Elephas maximus indicus: one gene and its partner. The protein of the gene in region 2 purifies or fractionates together with the protein of the main gene of each other region. This does not show direct contact. Links are inferred from orthologs where the notes say so. Each region holds a gene or a part of one and is shown on either strand. Other genes may lie near its edges.

Region 1 (7,056 bases), on a different chromosome or scaffold from region 2:
CTCAGTTTATTTTAAAAAAAGAGCTGTTATTTTTTAAAAATTCTGCCCAATTCTTTCATCTTTCCTCTCTACTGTTTTATTCTGTGTTTGAAGATAGTACTGCCATTAGAACTGAACAAAAAGGTCCTTTTCTAATCAGAAAGTAGTCCCTCATCCAAAAACAATAGTTTATATTTCAGTTCTTCACCGAGTGGTTCTACCCTACTCTATCCAAAGCTGACCTCACAGCCCTGTCAACATTTTGCTAAACCCATCTCTTTAAGTTGGCTTATCTTTCTATCTCTCCATGCTTCACTTAGCCACTTTCTGTATGCCCTTAACTCTGAACCCTAAATCATCAAAATCAAATCAAATGCCCAAAGGCTATCGATAATACATTGCTTTGTTAAGACAACCTTAAGGCATTTGCAATAGCACAAATCACACTCTTTATGGGACATGAAAAAGTAAATGTGAACAACTTCCACGTGGCATTCACAAAATAAACATATCACCAACGAAGCATCTAAAATATTTCACTTCACATTTTGCTAATTTTTCTACGTTAGAAATTATTTTAAATCGCTGATACGTAAATTCAACGTTTGTAAGAGACCTTTTACACAACAGCAGTTATGTAAAACATAAAACTGGCAAAGCTGATAGGGAACAAATGATCTCAGATCAGTGTGAAACTAGAGGATTTAGCCCCATACTAGTGAGGCAGCTAGCATGCTTCATGAGAACTACTGTTTCATCTACCACACACAGAACTGTATGACCTCAAATATGCTTGCTACACTTACACCCTGGTCAGATTCTTTAGCAAGCAGGTGTATTTTGTTTTTAATCCCCAAATGTGCAGCTGAAGACTTCACTAAAAATACAGGACCGGCTGGGAAGGGGAAAGCGACTGTGATCCAGGGAGTTAGAGTGCTGGCAATGTTCTATTTCTTGATCTGGGAGTTTGTGTTTAATTCTTCGTTAAACTGGACATATGTTTGGGTACTTTTCTATATACCATATACATGGGGGAACATCTAAGATTACTCAAGACAGTAGCTAAACAATACTTTAGGGAGTTATTATCCAAACTGGAGAGATTCAAATATTCAGACTACATAATAAGTTATAGTCAATATAAGGCAACTCTGTGGTAGGCAATACGCTTTGCTGTAAGGTCAGCAGTTAAGGGCTCAAAAAGCCCTTTAAAGATCTAGCCTAACACCCTCATTTTGCAGGAAAGGAAACCAAGGTTGAGGTAAATTACATGACTCCCCCAAGACCCCCCCAGCCCAGTCTAATATTTTATGTACCTGCATAAACCACTACCGTAATTCTAATACAGTACAACGTGAATAAAGCTCAGTCTAATATTGCATGTATCTGCATAAACCATTACTGTAATTCTAATACAGTACAACGTGAATAACAACAGGATTTGAGCAAAACTGAAGAAGTAACATATCCAGCCACGCTGGCTCCTAAGGCTAAAGCCGTTGTTGCCCTTACAAAATTCAAACTGCAAGGAAGGGGAGGGAGGGTGGAAAGGCTATCTGTACTATGGCATTTCGGAGTCCTCCTCTGGGGGCACCTACAGCAACACTAGTCACCTGGTTACTAATCACAAAGTGGGGCAGCGCCAGAAACACATCCTTAAGTTGCTGGATCCCGGACTCTCCTCAAACTTAAACGCGAGAAGACCCACAGCTTTTCCTGTCTTTCCCTCTCATCTCCTCCCACTGCCTCTAGAAGGCAGGCCGCCTGAGAATCCCCCCAGACGCAAAAGTGCTGGCCCGTGCCACCAACCAACCGCCGGTGAGTGCACGAAGAGGCTGCCAACTGCAGGTGATCTGAAGACGACACTCTCTGGGAAATACTCCGTGCAGCAGAGACCACCTCATTCACCACATCCTGGAGTTCCCACGCTGGGCTTGCTTTCAAAGGCCTCGGTGCGTCTACCTTCCCTCTCCTCTATCAGCCCACGACTGAAACACGCCTGTCGCCCCTATGACTGCTTAAGGAGAATTCAAATGCCGGCTCGGGTCTTTTGTTCCTTTTAGGTCAAAGAGGCCAGAAATTTCTCATAGGAAGATCTCTGGCCTCGTGATCCAGGCAGGCCTTATTATACAACGGTTCTCCCTCGGCGTTGGCTGAAAAAGGGCCCAGGGAAGCGACTTACCGCTTTTAGGGAGGAGAGGTGGGGAAGTTACAAAAAAACGATGAAAATGAAGAAGGGAGGGAGCAGAGGCTTGGAGGCTCTGAATGGGGCTGAGGGGCATTCCGTCCACAGCCCAGTGCGGCCGAAGTTCGGCCTGCAGCCCGCGGAGGAGCTGGTCGGCGGCGCTGGACGCCTCCAGCCGCCCGGAGATCGAGGATGACGGGGCTCCAGCCCATAGGCCAAACGAGAGGCCGGCGCCCCTCGGCTCGCAAATCCGGGAAGCCTTTTTTGTCTGTTTGCTTTTTTTCCCCGGGCCTCTCCGAGGAGAAGAATCGCCCCTCAGGCTCGGGCCGCCTCCCGGGAAGAGAAGCGGGAATCAGTCACAGTGGCAGAGGGCCGGGGCAGTCACCCCCGCGGCCCGGGTTTCGGGGCTCCCCGCTCTAGGCCCGGCCAAGCCCCCCTCCCCCACGCGGAGCCAGGAGGCCGCAGGCCCCGCCCACGTGGCGGGCGGCCCGGCGCGCGGGGCCCGACTACCGCCACACAATGGAGGCCTCGGCGGGTCTCGCGCGCCCCCGCAGCCGCGCGCCGCCGCGAGCTCCCCACGCGCCAGGAGCGCCGGAAGGTTCCAGAACCGGCCTGCCCGGTGGGGGGAGGGGAGAGGAGCGGAGCGCGGGCACCCGAGCCCATCCGGCCGTGAAGAGTACCTCAAACCCCTCTCCACAGCTCCACTCGGTCGCCCCGGTTGCCCCCAGAGATGAGCGGTCCCCCGTTTGGGCGTCCCAACCGTCGCCACCGCGACCGCGGTTCCACCACACTCACCCGTGGACGCCATTTTCTCTCCTTCCTCCTCGTTCTCTCAACGTCCGTCTCCCTCTCGCTTTCCCCCTAGGCCCCGCACTGCGCAGGCGCGAGGTCCGCAACCTCGGGCGCTACCATCGGGCCAGGCCACGGGGGTGGGATAAGGAGGGATGAACCATCACTTTCTCGTCGTTTGCGCCCGCAACTCTTGTCCCAATCCTCTCTAAAGGGTGCTGGCTGCGAAGACGCGCGGACAAAATAGCACCGAAGGGGCTAGAGCGGCCGGTGAGTGGGTCTCAGTGTCAAACCGAAAGATTCTCAAGAAGCCAGGCTGTTAGTAATGGTTACGTCCGCTGGCTCTAGGGACCGTCTCTGAAGAGTCTACCCTGGAGGAAACGGAGGCCGGCGGGAGGGCTGGGGGAAGGGACCGGGGCCTAGAACAACTGCTGACTAATCGGCAGGCAGCGGGGAAGGGGCAGCGCAGCGGCCGGTCGGGGTCACGCGCCCGCGTGTGTGCGGATTAGGCTCGGGAGTCTGGGCCTCGGTGGGGGGTTAAAGGCCCGACTGCCAACTGGGGTCGCGCTCGGCCTCCCGGGGGTGGGGGGGCCGCACTCGCAGTGAGTACCTCAGACACGTGGCCCCGCGGCGGGGGAGGGGGCCGAGGCCGGTCAGTAGGGTGGGAGGTCCCGAACGCTGCGCCCGGCTCCGAGAACCCCCTCCCCCTGCCCCATAACGGTCGAGGTTGAGAAGGCTCATTAATCACCTGTTATCCAATAACCTGGTTTTTACAGCAGGGGAAACTGAGGTCCAAGGAGGTTGGGTACTTTGCCCAAAGTCACAAAGCTGAGTCCGACCCAGACCCAGAGATCCCCCCAACTTTTCACCACCCGGGAAGAAGCTCCCCTGCCTTTGTCTTCCCATTCTATCTTTCTAGTTTCCCAGTAAGGTACACAGGGCCTGATGGTGCACCACCCCATTTTGTAGATGAAGAAACTGAGGCCCAGAGGGTTCAAGTCCTAGTTCTGGGTGTCCTTGGGTAGGCAGGTCCTTCACGCTCCCTACAGTGCCTTGGGAGGGAGTAGTTGTGAGGGTGCAGGAAGAGGCTTGCAGTGGACCTTTGGCTGCAGACCCAGCCTCGTGGCAAAGCTGGTACCTGCAGGCCTTCCTAGAAGGGACCTCAGCAATGGCTCAGCACAGTGGGGGGCTGGGCTCACCCCAAATCCCTCGGTGGAACCAGAGCCAAGCTAGTGTCTTTCAGCAAGCACACTATGCACCTGCTGTGTGCTAGGAACACCCTGGGAAGCTTGGGGATGAGTAAGAGAAGCCCTTCCATGAGCTCAAACCACCTGCCTTAGAAGACAGACAGGCTAAGCTGAGCTTGTAATAAAGGATAAAATCTGTTGGTAAGAGGAAGGGCCAAAGGAGACATTTGAGCTGGGTTTCAAAGGGTAAATAGGAGTTTGCCTGTTGGAGGATGGAGGGAAGGACACTGCAGGCAGGGGAGCTTTCTACATTTTTCCTACTGGAAACTGGCAAGTGGGTTTTGATGCTAAGGTTGCCCTCGGCAAGGGAGCAGATGAGGCAGCCTTCTTGTCTCTCTGGGGTCCTACTTCCTGCCCTATGGGAGACTGGAGGCCCAGCCTGTATGACAAGCTGGGTAGCAGAGGGGAGAACAGGGGAGAGAAAGTCTTGCCTTGTGGAGGCAGGGAATGGACATGGTTGAGGGCCAGGGCTAAGACCAGCCAGGCCAGAACAGGGAGTCTGTTGGTGTCTATATCTGCCTTCCACAATTAGCGGGGATGGCCATGGTTTATTGAGTAGGAGCTGCAGACCAGGCCCTGCCTTAGCCCATACCTTCTTATCATCTTGTGAGGAAAAGGTTTTCTTAATCCCCATTTTACAGATGAGGAAGGAGAGGCTCAGAGGTTGGGAAGCTTGCCCAGGGACATGCAGCAGGAAGAGGCAGAGCAGGAAATCTCCGGGGGGGGGGGGGGGCGCGGGGGTTGGACAAGAGGGGTGGTGATAGGGCCCAGGTAAGAAGAGAGTGGGTGGCTCTGACCACTGGCACTTTGTATGTGTGAATGGGAAGGTGACTCCTGTTGCCCCTCCTCCAGCCCCCTGCCCCACCCCCTCCCCAATCCGTTTGTCTATTGGCTGGCCCATTTTGCAGACTCTTCCTTGCAACTCCTGCCTCTGTCAAGGGCATCCTAGGTCAGCCTGGCTGGGCCAGATGGCCTGGAGCTCAAAGGCTGGGCACAGTGGAAGGGAGGAAGGGAGCTGGCCAACTAGGGAGCTGGCCTGAGGGAAGGGAGGCCAGAGGAGGGCTGGAGATGGTTCTGAATTTGCTCTGGGGCACTGCACCCCTCTTTCTGGGAGCCCAGGGCCCCAATTCAACTTCCCTAGGCCTATGCCTCCCACCCCCAGACCCTTTTTCGGGGCCATCAGGGCTCAGGGCCCTTTGGGCCTGGCCCCTGCCATCCTTACACATGGACAGGCAGGATGGTAGAATGGCTAAGCACATGGGTTAGGGTCCAAGCTCTGCCATGGCTAAGCTGCTTGGCTTGCCTCTTCAGCCTCAGTTTCCACTTCTGTAAAATGGGGCTGTTGTTGGCAGGGTGGGTGAGAGGGAGTCAATGAAATAAAGGCTGTGACAGTAACCATTGCTATTATTCTCCTTTACCCTCAGCACACAGCCCCAGGACCACTCTTGACCACTCTCAACATGCATGCCAGGGGCCCCCCTGGCCCACTGTCCCCGGCCCTGCCTCTCACCTCTTCCACTTTGATGCTGCTGATGAGTGGCCTGTGGCTGGTCGGGGCCGGCCCCAGCCTCACCCTGGTCCCGGAACTGCTGCTGGAACCCTGGCAGGGTGAGGGCCACGTGGGGCTTGGAGGAGGCAGGAGACTTGCAGTGGGGCCGAGACCAGTCACTTGCCTTCTCTGGGCCTGTTTCGTCACCTGCAAACTAGGGGTCATATTAGCAGTTACTCTTTTATTGAACACAGTTGGATGGAGTTGCTCAAGCAGATTCCCGAGTGACTGTATTACACAAAACAATTTGATAAGCACCTATCCATCCATTCATTCATTCAATAAATATTCATCAAGTACCTACTACATATTACACATGGTTCTCAGTGAAGGGGATGCAACAACGAACAAAACAAAGGCCTTGCTCTCACGGTGCTGTCGATCTGGAAGGGGAGACCCATGAAAAAGTGACTGCCTAGTAGGTCAGGTACTGATACGCGCTGAGAAGCAGGTGACCAGAGTGGGGGGTAGAGAGTGATAGGGTGGTTCTGGAGGGTCTTTGTGATACGCGCTGAGAAGCAGGTGACCAGAGTAGGGGGTAGAGAGTGATAGGGTGGTTCTGGAGGGTCTTTGTGAGAGGGTGACATGGGGCAGAGCCCTGCAGAGACTGAGGGCGCCTGCTGGCCATACAGAGATCCCAGGAAGAGCATTCTAGGCGGGGGGACAGCAGAGTAAAGGCCCTGCGGTCAGAGAATGTTGGTGTCCTTGTGGGGCTGCAAGGAGGCCAGAATAGTGGGAGTAGAGTGACTGGGGGGATGTAGGGTCTTGAGGACTTTGGCTTTGAGTGCGGTGGGGGCCTTGGAGGGCTGTGAGCAGAGCAGTGACATGATCCGACTTGGGTTTTGATAGCCCCTCACTGCCCTACCCCCTGGCTGGGGAATAGACTGAAGGGGGTTAGGGGTGGAAGCCAGGAGCCCGGTGAGGAGGTCACAGCAAAGATCCTGGTACGAGATGATGGCCTGGACTGCGAGGCAGGGATGGCCATGGGACAGGGTGACTTTTCAGGTACATTTCGAGGACAGAGCTGACGGGCTTGGAAGCTGGTTTGAATGTTGGGGCCTGAGCAACTGGAAGGAGCCTGGAGGGAGCAGGTTTTCTGGAGAATAGAGAGTTTGGTTCTGGACATGTGAAGTGTGACAGGCCGATTAGACACCCCTGAGGCAGAGAGCGAACTGGCTTTTGGGTGTGAGTTGGATGTCTGGGTCGGAGGCAGAAATTCAGAAGGCGTCAATGTATCTGTGGCATTCGAAGCCTAGAATGGATGGGGTGGCCAAGGGGTGAGGGTAGAGATCCAGATGGCTCCTGGC
Region 2 (7,125 bases):
GGGCAAAGAGTAATGAATCTGAAGTGGGGGCATCTGTGTTGCAAACCTGACTTGATCATTAACAGACCAGGTGATTTTCAGAAATTGCTGTACCTCTCAGCCTCAGTGTTCTCACCTATAAAATGGGGATAAAAAAAAAGTGAATACTAACCTTTGCTTATCTCACAGGATTATTTTGAGGATGAAATGCGACAAAAGAGCTTGCAAATAACAGCACCCAAAGTCAGGGAAATATCGGTTATCAGGATTATGTGACACCATGTGAGCTCCCTGAAGGCAGAGACAGGGTCTTTCTCATGGTTGGATCTCTGGTACCTAATTGTTCCTGGTACAGAGTTGGTGCTTAATAAAGGCGTGTTGAATTAAGAACAAGGACTCCTACCACCATCACCAAAGCCCTCCCCCAATACACACACAGGCGCCCTTGGCTCTCTCTCCCACCATAAATGCAGGCTAGCTCACAATACCCCCTCCCCTTTGGAAATACTGCTCTAGTGCTGTTTTATTCCAAAAACAGCCGGTTCCTGGAGAGAAACCAAGTGAGTGTCACGCTGCCTGGATGCTTCTGTTGGGCATGGCTCTCAAGGGAAGTTGCTAATAACTGAGCCCCCAAACTCAGTCCCCGTCAAGGAGCCCCAGCTGGGTCTACCCCCTCCCCCGCAGCCTTTGTACCAGGCATGCGGAGTGGTTTTTTTTTTTGCTCACAGGAGCTCGGTCGCCTCTACTGCTGTCTTCATTGATGCCTTGAGCAGAGCTGGCATGTGCAACTGCTGAAAAGGGGGAGCGCCGAGCCGCGGGGGAAGCAAGTAAAAATATCCTGGCACGAGCCGCTCTGCCTGCCCCCGACGTCTTTAACCCTGGCCCAGGTGGGGAGCGAAGCCGCTGCCGCCGCACACTGCGGAACCTGGGAAGGTCTGCACACAGACCCCATGCAATTGCGGTGGGTTCCCAGACTAGAGACCCATGAAAACCTTTTTTTTTTTTTTTCAGAAATAGAGCGCAGGGTGGGGTGGGAAGACTCTTTCTCTCTTCCAGGGCTCCAGCCACCTGCCTGCAGGAACTGCTACGAGCCTGCTTGCCCAACACTTTATAGAAGTGCAGTCTTGACTCTGAGCTATTTTTAGAAACCTCTTTAGCTTGTGCGCTACAGAGGGCGGAGAGCGAGGGTATCGGTAAGGTTGGCTTTCGCCCGTGCACTTTGCACCTTGCACTAACCATCTTTCTGTCTGCTCTTAGGCGGGGGTGGGGAAGAGGAAGTGGCGAGAGAACTGCACGCACGCCGGCTGTGCCCAAACTCAAGGAGACGGCATTAGGTACTGAATGCCCCACTGCTCTCAAGCCCCAGAGCGTGTTTATTTCGAAATCGACAGTTGCCAGATGCACGCTGCTTCTAGACTGAGTTTTTTTTTTTTTTTTTTAAGCTTTGCTGCCTCCCATGTGGGGTAGGGGTTAGCCGCAGGGTTAAGACCACGAGGAAAGAAAGATGGGAAGGGTCTCTGCACCTTTTTGCATTCTGGCAAGACAGAGGGAGAATCCCCGCGCCACACCCCCATCCCCGCCCCACGCTGCATATGGGTAACCGTATGTAAAATGTACGGCAGCCCCACCAGACACCCGGCTATTAATAGAGCCCGGGAGTTTGCTCTCTGTCTTTTTTCTGCCACCGAGTAAGGGATGATCTTCACACACATGCCCCACTCTGCCCCCACCTCGGCGCACCGTTTCTCCAGGAAGGTAAGGGGGCTGCCCACGCTGATCCCCTTCATGACTACAGGTGCCCAGAGCCTACGGACTAGTCCAGTTGTAATGACAGCGGGGTCAGTGCAAGGCGAAGGCACACGACCCTGATTCTCGGGGCGCAAAGTCCAGCAGGGCTCTGAGGCTGGGGGCCAATTCAAGAGTAGAGAACCGACAGCTATTGGACTGTCAAAGTCCAGGGGCAAGAGCGCAATTTGCGGAGCTACTGCCACCTCCTCAATAGCTGCTGTGGGACCAGTGGTTGCAGACCCATTTCTGCCTGCAGTGGATGGCTCGCAGCCCCCACTCCCTGCGCTGGCTTGGCTGCTGCAGGGAAGGGTGCTGTCCCTGGTGCTGAAGGTGGCAGCGGCCCGTGCGCCCCAGGCGGCTCTAACATCCAAGGATTGCAGACTTCTCCCCGGCCCGGATCTGGGCGGGAAGGATCTGCTGGTGGTGCCCAAGTCCTACCCCCGGCTCGGCTCGGCCCCCGTAACTGGGAGCTCTCCGCCTTGCTGCGGGAACCGAAAGCTCGGGGACTGACTGGAGCTTGAAGGGTAAAACTGAGACAGCGGCAGGAGACGGTCAAGGTACTGCAGGGAGCAGACCTGGCCCCAGGATCACTCACCCCAGCTTTGCACAAAGCCGGGACCCGGGAGCCCTAAGGAGCCCAGAGGAGAGGGCAGAGAGCGCGGCTGCCCAGGATTTGGGACTTGGGGGGAAAGGAGAAGCAAGGAGCGGGTGGCAGGAGAGGGTGATGGGGCGAGAGCGACTCTTGCATTTGCAAGAGGGAGGAGACCTAAGACATGCACTGTCTCCCCCCCAACACACACACACACACACTCACACACACACACTCACACACACATGGCCGGCAGAAGCAAGCGGGATGGAGCTGGTGGAAAGTTTGGCACTAGGTGCTAAGCAGCGGCGGCGGTGGCGGCGGCGGCAGCAACAGCGACGGCGCGCGGTGGTCCCGGGTGGGCGGCCGGGGTCGCGGAGAGCCCCGGCTCTCTCGCCTCCTTACCTCGGTGTTCTCGGCAGCGTTCTCCGCCATTTTCCTCCTTAGGAGCAGGCAGCGGGAGGAGTGTTTCATGCCCATAAGAGCCAGCAAGGGTTTGGTGATACAGAGATAGTAGAGAAAGAGAGAGCTGGTGTAGCTTTAAAAAAGAGAGAGAGAATGGGAAAAAAAATAAAAATAAAATAAAAAAACACCCCAACCCAGCCCCTCTGCTGGAGCGTCAGGCGATACAATCAACCACGGTTGAGTCTTTTCTGCAGTCTCCACTTTGTTTTATTTTCCTCCCTTCTCATCTGTTTCGGATTCCTTCACACACTTTCAAGTTCTTCTCGCGCACCCCGACCCCCTCCCCGCCCCTCTCTCCTCCCGCGCTGCGGGCTAAGCAGGAGCGAGGCGGCCCCCAAGGCTCCGCGGCGGCGGCGGCGGCGGCGGCAGCGGCGGCGGCGGCTTCTCCTCTCTCGGCGGCTCTCAAAGTCCGGCCGGCCCGAGGCAGCCACCAACTCCTCTCAACTTCTGCCGATCGGCTGGGCGAAGCAACACGCTTCCTGCGCGTCTCTCCTAGGGGCTGAGCCGGGTGAGTGGGGGCGGGGTAGGAGGTTCGGCAGAGCAGGCGGTGGCTGGGCGCAGACCGAGGGCCCCAGCGCCCCCAGGACCGCCCCCCTCCCCCAGGCTCCGGGGGTCTCTTGGCCGTCTCCACTCAGCGGCGCTATGGAAAACTTGCGCGGGGGCAAGGACTGCGCGGGCGCTGCAGGGCCACGCGAGAGCCTGGGAGAAAGCAGGAGCCGGGGCCAGGCTCTTCCTGTAGGTCCTTACACCCGAGCGTGCGTCCTCCCACCGAGGGCGAGCTCTAGGCAAGGCCGGGCCACTGTAACCTCGCCCCCACCCCTCCCCACCCCACCCCACCCCACCCCGAACTCTCCCTCTCCTCTGCCAATTCCTGGGTCCTTCCTTGGCAAATTACGGTTTGGGGAGCGAAGGGGTGGGTGTCTGGCTAGGGGAGGGTCATTAACTCCTTCAACTCTGGGGCTAAGTGTAGGATCGGTATCATTCCATTTCTCCCACTCTCCCCTGTCCAAGGCACAGGGAGCTCCAAGCCCCTCTCAGGTTAAGGTAGGAGAAAGGTAAATGGAGGACTCTTGAGTGCCCACCTGCAGTGGTGCTCCCTCCACCCCAGTCTGTCCAGGCAGCCCCCTGCCCACACAGTTTTCTTTTCCCTCCTCACCCTCCCCTATCATCACCAGATTTTGGAGTTCCTTTTATGGGAAGAGAGGAAAGATGTCACGTACCCATTAGGATTCTCTTGATCCTTTTTTAAGGGAGTTTGGGCGGCAGCAGGGGGTGTGAATTTTTATACAATGCATTACTGTCTTCACTTTGAGAGCTACTTTTTCTCTGTCTTACTGGCCATCTGTCAGGCGGGTGGGAGATAGAACAAAGGGGTGGAGGGGAGCAGGACCCCAGCCCGTGGCTGGCTCTTTCAAAAACAGACAGCTGCACTTTCAAGTTTTCTGGCCACAAGGCAAGGACAGGGACCTAAAAGACACTCTCTGAGCATCCTGGCTCTCCTCACTTCATCCCTGTACTTATTTGGAGAGGTCAGTCCCACCTGTCCTATTTGATTTTATCATCATCTTTGACAGCCAGGAAGTGTGAAACTGATTGTCCTTAACTAACCCCAGAGTCCATTGAAGAAAAGGGCCAGAATCATGGCCAGTACTAAAGATGTCACCATTGCCTGGTGCTGGAGGAAAGAGAGGACACTTAGCCATGTGTGGAGGTAGAAAGTGAGTGGTGGAGAGAGGAGAGGCTGGAGGGTGAGGAGAGTGAAAATAGGAGGAGACAAGAGGCTTGAGTGACTGAGTTAATGAAAGTGTGTGTGTGTGTGTGTATGTGTGTGCGTTAAAAAAAAATTGTGCGTTAGGGAGGAGTAAATTTAAATGAAAGAATAACCTTAACTTTTTCCTTCCTCAGATCACAGACCTGGGTTGGGGTGAAGGGGGGGAGGGGGAGGGGTGAGTGAGCAGAGTCTTTGACAATGTCTGGTCTTTCCCCTTCCCCTTCACGTCCTGTCAACGTGCAGAAAGTGGGAGGAGGATAAATGAGGTGAATCTAGAGAATGACTTTCACCCTCTTGAACCCCATTTTCTCTGAAAGTTTTTCTTGGAGACAAAAGATTCTGGGAGACATCTGATCCCCAAACAAGAATCTCAGTTCTTGTACAATCAAAGAAAATCAGAGCAGAAAGGATCCTCACAGTTCTTTAGCCCAAGCCTCTCATTTTCTAGATAAGGAACCTGAGGCCAGGGAGAGGACATGTGTCTGTGGTCCCTAAGCAAGCTAATGAAGCATCTGCGACCAGCTCCCCAGCTCTTCATCTAGTACTGTCCCCCAACCCCACACTCCTTCAGCGTGTGCATCCATTCTGTGACTAACCAGGGAGGAGGGGAGATGAAACAAGCTCCCACCAAAATAGGCTGCTGCCTGTGCGTGATTATGTTGCTATGAGAACCACAGTGGGTGTGTTTCCTCCGATCTCTGTTGAAATCTTTTGCTTGGCTTTGGCTTCTCCCCAAGCACAGACACGGCTCCCTTGGAATGGGGAGTGGAGAGGCTGAGATAGAGAACTGCATTCTCATGACAAGAGTTTTCTGTTCTATCCTGTCCAACCCAGATCCAGTCTGGAGCTGCGAGTGAGAAGCCTAGGCCACCGGAGTGGTTCCATAATGGCTGGAGGATATGAGTGAGCTATCTTTTAAGTGGATACTCCGATCCCCTACTGAGCCATCTCAGAGAAGAAAGAAGCTGCCCTTGCTACGCCTCCACTAATTACAGATTCACAAGCAAAATAACTCAAAAGAGACTAAGGGTTAGGGTGACTTGTTACAAAGCAAGAGATTTACCTGAATACCCACCTTATAGGGTTGTTGTGAAAATTCATGATGCATGAAAAGTGCCTAGCGCATAGTAGGTATTTTATAGTGCTGTTATCTCAACATCCCCGTTCGCTGAAATTCAGTTTTTCTCTACCTCTTTTGCATATATATATATTAGCATAGTCTCATATCAGATTATTTCAGTCACTGCACGAAGGATTTACTGGGTATCTCTTACGTACCTAGCTCATTAGTAAGCACTAGGTTTGACAAGAGGCAACAAAAGATTGACCATTGATGAGCTCTGAAATAGTCACCTTAAGTTACCTTAGATACTTTGAAATGTACGGAACTTTTGTAGAAGTGCTTTTTAAGAGAGTTTGATAGATGTCAAGAAGGCATATGGAATGACAGAGGCTACAAGGAGTTCATCAGGGTGTGAGTTAAATGGGTAGTTTGGTCAATAGTCATACCAGGTAAAAACACCCTGATGACATATTTTTCATATGTCATTTTCCTTAGACTAAATCTTCAACTCAACAAAATACATTGAACAGTACATGTAAAGTGCTTAGAACAAAACCTGGGTCATTGTAAGGGCACAAATGTTGTGTTACTATTTGCTCAGCCCTATGCTAAGCTCAGAAACCCTGGTGGCATAGTGGTTAAGTACTATAGCTGCTGACCAAAAGGTTGGCAGTTCAAATCCACCAGGCGCTCCTTGGAAACTCTATGGGCCAGTTCTACTCTGTCCTATAGGGTTATTATGAGTTGGAATTGACTCAATGGCAATGTGTAATACTAATATGCTAGGCTCTGTGGTAAACTTTATAAGAGTGCTTATTATACGCAGAGACTCTTCTAGATTTACATGTTTTCTCATTTAATCCTTTAAGCAGCTCTTTCAGGTAGGTACTGTTATTATCTTCACAAACCAGGTGAGAAAACAAAAACAGAATTGTACAAGTGGTAGAGTCAGGATTCAGATGTAAGATGTCTGATTCCACAGCATGATCCTCAAGAAGTTAACCAGGTTCAAAGAATAAGGCAGTGCTTCTCAGCCTTGGCCACACGGGGGGAATCATCTGGGGAGCTTTAAAAATACCAATGCTTTGGTTTCACCCCTGGAGAGTGTGATTTAGTGAAACCTGGATACCAGGATTTTTTTTTTTTTTTTTAATCCCTGAGTTATTCCAATGGGCGGTCATGTTTGAGAATAATTGAATAAGGATATCTGGAGGAAAGAAAAACATCTACAGAGAAAGAAGATTCCTAAGTTACAGAAAAAACCAAAACCTGTTGCCATTGAGTTGATGCTGACTCCTAATGACCCTATAGGACAGGGTAGAACTGCCCCTTAGGGTTTCCAAGGAGCAGCTGGTAGATTCAAACTGCCAACTTTTGGTTAGCAGCTGAGCTCTTAACCACTGAGTCACCAGGGCTCCAAGTTACAGAAAGGACCCCCCAAACTACAAGAACCCCCACATTATAGAAAGG

What was found. Proteins that work in one complex are often made in the same cells at the same time.
Region 1: the proteins of PRMT8 (region 2) and EWSR1 purify together in Homo sapiens (affinity purification with mass spectrometry; 3 studies listed by BioGRID and IntAct, counting the BioPlex papers as one, with this or other methods). This does not show direct contact. The link is inferred for Elephas maximus indicus from reciprocal best matches to the Homo sapiens genes PRMT8 and EWSR1.

The regions. Positions count from the first base shown.
Region 1 is NC_064840.1:27,302,433-27,309,488, forward strand, and holds the start of EWSR1 (RNA-binding protein EWS), read right to left. Parts: upstream 3,021-7,056; 5' UTR 2,973-3,020; coding exon 2,960-2,972; intron 1-2,959. Other genes in the region: RHBDD3 (rhomboid domain-containing protein 3), read left to right, coding at 5,661-5,808. UniProt on the Homo sapiens protein: Binds to ssRNA containing the consensus sequence 5'-AGGUAA-3'. Might normally function as a transcriptional repressor. EWS-fusion-proteins (EFPS) may play a role in the tumorigenic process.
Region 2 is NC_064822.1:59,824,301-59,831,425, reverse strand, and holds the start of PRMT8 (protein arginine N-methyltransferase 8), read right to left. Parts: upstream 3,010-7,125; 5' UTR 2,837-3,009; coding exon 2,762-2,836; intron 1-2,761. UniProt on the Homo sapiens protein: S-adenosyl-L-methionine-dependent and membrane-associated arginine methyltransferase that can both catalyze the formation of omega-N monomethylarginine (MMA) and asymmetrical dimethylarginine (aDMA) in proteins such as NIFK, myelin basic protein, histone H4, H2A and H2A/H2B dimer.